2 linked regions of the Canis lupus familiaris genome follow. The protein of the gene in region 1 binds, or shares a complex with, the protein of each later gene. Links are inferred from orthologs where the notes say so. Each region holds a gene or a part of one and is shown on either strand. Other genes may lie near its edges.

The links. Proteins that work in one complex are often made in the same cells at the same time.
Region 2: the proteins of GNA13 (region 1) and ADGRD1 are in contact, whole or in part, in a cryo-EM structure (PDB 9V0U), measured with the Homo sapiens proteins. The link is inferred for Canis lupus familiaris from reciprocal best matches to the Homo sapiens genes GNA13 and ADGRD1. Residues at the interface, in NP_006563.2 of Homo sapiens: Val49, Val216, Phe218, Phe359, Val362, Lys363, Asp364, Ile366, Leu367, His368, Asn370, Leu371, Gln373, Leu374, Met375; in NP_942122.2 of Homo sapiens: Asn599, Arg601, Leu657, Met660, Val661, Ile662, Val664, Phe665, Ser667, Val737, Ile738, Ile741, Ala761, Val764, Asn810.

Annotation. Positions count from the first base shown.
Region 1 is NC_049230.1:11,987,738-11,991,390, forward strand, and holds part of GNA13 (guanine nucleotide-binding protein subunit alpha-13), read right to left. Parts: intron 3,511-3,653; coding exon 3,284-3,510; intron 1-3,283. UniProt on the Homo sapiens protein: Guanine nucleotide-binding proteins (G proteins) are involved as modulators or transducers in various transmembrane signaling systems.
Region 2 is NC_049247.1:1,522,900-1,526,552, forward strand, and holds part of ADGRD1 (adhesion G-protein coupled receptor D1), read right to left. Parts: intron 3,358-3,653; coding exon 3,298-3,357; intron 644-3,297; coding exon 526-643; intron 1-525. UniProt on the Homo sapiens protein: Adhesion G-protein coupled receptor (aGPCR) for androgen hormone 5alpha-dihydrotestosterone (5alpha-DHT), also named 17beta-hydroxy-5alpha-androstan-3-one, the most potent hormone among androgens. Also activated by methenolone drug.

The DNA of each region.
Region 1 (3,653 bases):
AACAAAAAAAAAAGACAAATTTTATTTTTCTACTAACTCTTCCCTTTTCCCCTGATGGTTTACTTTTTCTATCCAAGATTCAAGAATATACACTGGCAAACATAAAAAGAAAATTATGACTCTGTAAGACAATGACTTCTCATCTCCTAGAAAATTGACAAGCTAGCATCCAGAAATGATTCCTATTTCCCTGAAGACACTTCATGTGGGATGTCTCTTTTTTTCCAGAAGAACTTAGAATTCAGAATGTCTAAAAAAACGAGGAAATAAAATAAGTGTCAGGCTTATGCTAGCAAGAGAGAAAAAGATGAACTAGGCATACCAACGGAGCTTCTACTTAAGTAGGAGAACCAAATACAAGTGCAAACAAGTGGAGTGCAGGCGACCAAAGGAGAGCACAGGGCAGGGAGAAACGCTCCAGCCAGGAGGGCTGGAGAAATCTCTGATCCTAAAGCACTATCCCTCAGGGTGGCCAAGAAGCAAATTCATCCAAATCATCCTTGACTGTCTGCCACAAATACACATCACTGGGTCCCATCCCAGATTCCTGAATCAGATCCTCTTGCGATGGGAGTCTAGAACTCTGTTTTTGTTTCATTTCATTTTTTATTAAACAAGCATTCCAGTGAATCTAATACAAGGGGTCCATGGACCATGTTTGGTCACACTGAAATACTACCATTTTTCTAAGTTAAGGGTAAGACCTACTGCATAGATACAGTAATGAAAAACCATAACAGAAAGACCTTATAAAGACAGCCACCACAGAAGCAGACAATCAAGGTATGTGGAAACTGATGAATACACTGACTCTAAGAGGCTGAACTCTGTTCTGGAAGTAATGGAGAATGAGTATAGCTTTTTGAACAAACTCATGCTGTGTTTGAATAAGATTATCTGGGAGTCCAAGTAAGAGGTACTAAGACATTAATGGAAAGGGGGAAAGGAGGCAACAGATGCAAGAGATTTTTCAAGGGTAGAAAAGACAGGACTTGGGATTTGATGTGTGTAGAGAAGAAAAGGAATTGAAGAGGACCATGAGAAAAATTTTAAATGAGCCAGGTGCCTTCTCTGTGTCTAACACTGTGTCAAGCACCACACAGCATCCACAAGCACAAGAATCATTAATTCAATGTAGTAACTCAACCCTTCCAATATTTGACAGGTGCCATTAACACCACCAAGGATATACACAGGAAAAAAATTCCTGTCCTCCAGGGGTTTAAAATTACATCTCTCCCTGTTCTTCTTTTATTTTGCCCTTACTTTTTATGAGGCAAAAAGTATTTCTGGAACCTGTCTCTCCTTGTGCTCAAGACCTTTGCTGCTAAAGCATTACTGGGTCAAGTCAAAAACATGTAGGTCCTCATCCTGAGTGGTTTTAGCTGTTTGTTCTTAATGGCAAATACTTAGGAATGCTTTCTTGACTACGATGACATGACAGTCTTTTGTTTTGTTTTTTTTTTAAAGATTTTATTTATTTTAAGAGAGAGCATGTGTGCATGAACAGGGAGGTGAGGGAGGCAGAGGGAGAAGGAGGCTCCCTGCTAGCCCCATGTGGGGGCTGGATCTCAAGCTGAAGGTAGATGCTTAACCAATTGAACCATGCAGGCGCCCCAACATGACAGTCTTGATACAAAACTATTAAGATGTAAATATCCAAATTCAAGTGTAAGTGTGGCCCAACTTTAGATAAATGGACTTAAAAAACTTTCCTACAGAAACTTTTAGAATACTGCTGTTTATTCATCCAATCAATATGAACTGTATGCTTTTACAGATGGATGGTTCTCCCCTGACCTGGAAGAATGAATAACATCCTGAGAAACCTTAGAGTGCAAAGTGTGATCAATGAATTAAAAAGGAGAATAAACAGCACTTAAAAACAGGAGGCAGGGTGACAACAGGTGAGAAGCAGCAGTATGTGTAGGAACTATCAGTTATAAGAAATACTGACCAAAGGACAAAAATCAACCACAAGCCTGAGAAGTGGACAGAGGTCACTTGTCAAGTTAAATTCATAATTGTCAATATACGATGAATGCTGCCAGTGACTTGATTTTAATAATAACATGAGTCTTTGATTAATGGACAAATTATTTGACAAGATACACACATCAAAGAGAAGAACTATACAAGACAGTAGGTGATCAAGTGCTACATTTATATGGTGTCTGCGAGAGCCATAATTCAGAGTAAGTTAAGATTTAAAATCAGTTTTATAAAATGCTGTCATGAACATGTTTCTAGAACTTTTTAGTAGCCAAGGCTGCTCTGAGTACAAACTGTAATAGCAAAGACTGCTGGCTGTGTATCATTTTGTAGCCACACCCATAAATGTGTATCACTTTAATGCCAGTGACATCACTAAACAACTTTCTAAGCAGTTTTACTTTTAACTGTCACTTTTTCAGGATCATAATACAGTAAAACACTTCAAATCTGAACTACCTCCAAATTGCATACAGTCTAGATTGTTATCATTCCTGGGATCTTTCTGGTCTTCGGCAAATAAAACCCAGAACATAATCAAAGCATTCACAATTAAACTGCAAAACACTTGATTAAAAAAAATCAATTTCAATAATTATTTGTATCTTTACTATCAATAATTATTGTATCAATAATTATTTGTATCTTTAAACTAGATCAGATCTTTTCTTTTCCACCCTACCTACAGTGCTTTGTAACAGCTATAAAGCTTTACCGTAGTCTAAGATTATGGTTTTAACGAAGAAACATTTTGTAATATGTGCTGAGAAACCTTAGAGAAATACACACAGTATGCAAATATATAAAGTACAATGACTTAAATGTTATCAAGGGCTTCAAACTCTTTATAAATTAATCTGTATCATAAAATGAGTACCTCAAAAGACCATATAAAAGACACACTTGAACAACTAGGTGTAGTTACCGGGCTCTCAGCCTGAGAGTAGAAGATGAATTTTTTAAAAGGATGAATATCACTGCTGCAATTGGGAGGAGATTATTTTCAAAACTAGAATAAAATTAGGAGAAAATGTCTAAGAAAATCACTATCCTCTTACTTACAAAAAGGAAAAATGACCAGTTAAACATAACTGCTTCACCAAATCTATGGGGTTTACCTTATTTTTATCTTGCCTCAGTAAGAAACTCCTCTAATCCAATCCAAATTTCTGAGACTAAAATTCTGGAGACATTTTAATGTGGAAGTCAGTGAAAAAAGTATGTTAGAATCAGCTTCCAGTACATGTCATTAAAATAAAATGACAACAATGTAAAAGAACAGATCTCTTACCAGTTGAAATTCTCGACGCCGGTCATAGGCATTCTGTATGCCACTGTCTGCCCACAGTGCTCTTATGATAGGGAGATACTGCAAAAAAACTTGAGTTTCCACCATTCCCTGGGCCGCCATGGGGGACCGGGTGTCAAACGCCATCATCTTGTCTCCGTTGCCTTGGTTTGAGTTATCTCCCCACGGAATATGAAGTTTCTCTCGAGCATCTACCAGCACCCTCATACCTTTGTTTAAAAAGAAAGAAAAAGGTGTGCTAGGAGTCATTAGATATCCTCAGTGATTCTATTCCAGTATTCTTTTCTGAAGCTTAACCATGCCAAGCCTACCTCCTCCACAAATGGAGGCCAACGTCGAAACAAACACCCGT
Region 2 (3,653 bases), on another chromosome or scaffold:
CGGCCCTCGGAAACCTGATTCTGCACCTTTTATTCTACAGGCACCCAAAGGAGCTGCTGCTTTTTGACTCTTGTTCTAAGCAGAAGAACTGTCACATGAGCTCATTCTGGCTCCCAAGTCACAATCAAATGCTTCTGTGACTTTGCGTCCACATCACAGCTGACCACCTGTGCCCCAATCTCACTGCCCCTCCAAAGTGTAATTTTGCATAAGGGCAACATAGTTTAGGAAAGCAGAGAGGTCTGAGCTGATGGTGTGTTTACTGCTACGTGTGTGTGTGCACCTGTGTGCGTGCACACCTGCACGTGTTTGCACCTTTGTGCAAGTGTGTGGGCACCTGTGTGTGAGTGTGTGTACACTGTGTGTGCGCACGTGCAAGTGTATGCGTGCATCCATGCAGATGTGTACATGCAGGCGTGTGTAGGTGAGCACGGGGCCGTCAGAGCAAACCTCACAGGCCAGCTGCCTTCCTGAGTCCCCAGCCCCTGCACCAAAGGCCCCATCCCACACCCAGCTGACAACTACCTGCCATGGAAGAGGAGCCTATGATGGTGACCTGGGGCTCGTTGGTGACCAGGCTGGAAGAGATGTGGCCCATGACAGTGTCAACAGTCTCTATCAAGCCCACCACCATAGCATTGTCCTGGAAACAACACAACACAAGGAAACTGAGAAAACAGAACCTGCACAGTGACCATTCTGAAGCCTACCCTCCAAACACATGCAGCCTGGCCCTGACACCACCAGCACCCTCCAAAGGAAGAATGCCCTGTGTCTGTGGTGGCCTAGGCAGGCCGCCTGTCCCCTCAATGAGCAGATGAGCAGGAGCAGGGGAGAGCCCACAGCACTACCCTTCTCACAGGCAAAGAAGTGGCCAGTGAGGTCACCCACCCAGCTGACCTGGTAGAGAGCAGACATCCCAGTCACCTGGCCGTCAGCCACAAGGCTTCTATGCTTAGACACAGGTCACAGAGACCTGGTGCTAGCTACCCTCTGGACTCACCTCAGCAAAGCTCTGACCAGCCCCCACCTTGCCCCCTTCCGTTTCAGGAGGAGAGGGCTGATTGCCCCCCAAATGCCCTCCAGAACAAGGACACCAGAAGCTTCATCCTATTCTCCATGCAGGGGAGGGATGCTTTGGAGGTGCCAGCGCCCCAAATCCTCTCTGGCCTCTTCAAACCCCCTGGTGCATCCCTTCCCTCCAAAGGCCATCTTCACTCATTCTGATTCCCCAACACAGAGAGGATCCCAGGGGTCCCTCCTGGTCATTCCATATCTCAGCAGCAGCTCAGATCCAGCTGATGGGCCCTCGTCAGGCACACCACTACAGGGACAGGACCTTTCAGTGCCCTGGGTGTGCGGTGGCTGTGCCTCTCTGCCATCATGCCCTTTGCCTCCTTCCTGCCTTTCTGAAAAGCATCTGTCTGCTAAGGATCCTTAGCGCTCTCTCACAGATGCACACTCCATGAGAATCTAATGAGCTGGGAATAGAACATTGAGGCCAATTTTAGACATTTTCATTGAGGCCTGTGGCCTGATTTCAATCAGCAGAGCATGGCTAAACACATAGAAATCTGTGTCTCTCTGTAGTTCTGTGGGCAGTAGCTGATTAATACCTTCTCTTGAATGCACATTAGAGCCTTCCTAAGTCTGAATAGTTTCATGATTATTCATATTTTGTGGCAGAACATTAAGAAAAAATTACTTTATAATGATGCTGATAAAATAGGTCTGCTCAGGTCCTCCACTGGCCATTTTTTGGGGGTTCCCCATGCCGCAGTTCTGTACACAGAGTCCCTCTAGAAGCCTCCAGTCCCTCTGGATGGTTGTGCATTTTAAAAAAAAGAAATTGTTTCTAGGTAATACTAGATCAACTGTAAATTCAAATCCCTTGTTTTCCTCCCTTTGCTAGTGTTAACTCCATCTCATTCCATTTGAAACTGTTTAAATAAAAAGTTCATTAAATGTAAACCATACAGCAATCTCATTAATAACATTTCTGCCTCAAACTGGCAAATATTTTTTAAACCTTATAGGATATCAGGAGAATGAGCACTTTAATATTACAATGGTGTGGTTGCAACTCTGCTAAGCAAGGCAGTTGAGAGTCCTCCCCACTGCTGGACTTTGGAAGTCATGTTAAGACCACAGCATCAGAAAATGGACAGAGCCAGGACCCCAAAGTCACTGGACTGAGAGGCTCCTCGGACCCACTCCAGACTTTGCATGAGTGAGAAGTAAGTTTCAACTGTGCTATGCCACTGAGATGCAGGGGTCTATTTGTTACTGCAGCATAGCCTAGCCTAGCCTGACTGATCTCCCTACTGTCAGTGGAAACTGTCCTGCAGAGTCAAAGACAACCAGGTTAAATCAGACACACAGCGTATTTGTAGACTATGTGGGCAGGTAAGTGAAATAAAAGCAGAACGGGAAGGGGTGTGCTCAGGGTCGTGGTCCACCTTAGGACTTCAGGTATCTATTCTTTTATACATTTTTTACTATCTACAGTTTCTACCTTCACAACATATTAACTTGTTTTATTCATTAAATAGTAGGATCAATTAAGTTATTTTTAAAAAGAAAAAATTCTATTCTCCTTTCTAATTCTTTGGAGTTCAGGGGGAAAAGAAGCTTTTTTGGTTTTTACATTTATAACCATGAAATACACATTGTCACGTGTTCTACTTTTTTCACTTAATCTAGTGATCTTTAAACATAAAACATGTTTTTTTTTTATTACTACTCAAGAACAATGTGATGGTAAAACATATCTTATTAAAATGATAAACAGAGGGATCCCTGGGTGGCGCAGCGGTTTGGTGCCTGCCTTTGGCCCAGGGCGTGATCCTGGAGACCTGGGATCGAATCCCACGTCGGGCTCCTAGTGCATGGAGCCTGCTTCTCCCTCTGCCTGTTTCTCTGCCTCTGCCTCTCTCTCTCTCTCTCTCTCTCTGTGACTATCATAAATAAATTTTAAAAAATTAAAAAAAAATTTTTTTAAAAATGATAAACAGAGGTCAACCAAGTATACACTCAGGAAGAAATGCAACCATTTCCTTGCTTGGTGTTGAGGAGAATAATGTATCACTGACACATTCTTGAGCCATACAGAAGACATGGTACTTCACATCAGTTGTATCTGGTCAAAATGTGCTCTAATATTTCAGATTACAAAACTAAAAGATGCATCATTTCTCTTCAAGATGTGAATTGGGCCATATTTACACCAGTTCTAGGAAGTCACAGTGGTTCCCAAAGTGCATACGTTTTGAAGATCAAAATGTTCTTTTTTCTTACCTCTGATACATCAATCCAACTGGGCAGTTGAAGAACCTCTTCCATGGCTTTTAAGAAAGCCTAAAGGCAGACAAAATGACACTTCTTAGCATGTATCCTTAATCCTCAAAATCTCAAGACCTTTGATTACTCCATGTCTATTAAGCAATGGCTGGTTTGGATTTTACATGTAGTAATAAACAAAAATAGCTGATATCAGCATATTGGGTTATATTTTACAAGGTCCTTCAGGCCTACTATCTTACTTGTTCCCTGTGACAATCCATTCATCAGTGATAAGCATTCAGCTTAGTCATGGAGACTAAGGCACACACAGTGCCTAGGAGATAGAAGCAGCCCTCAGTAAATGACGGTTG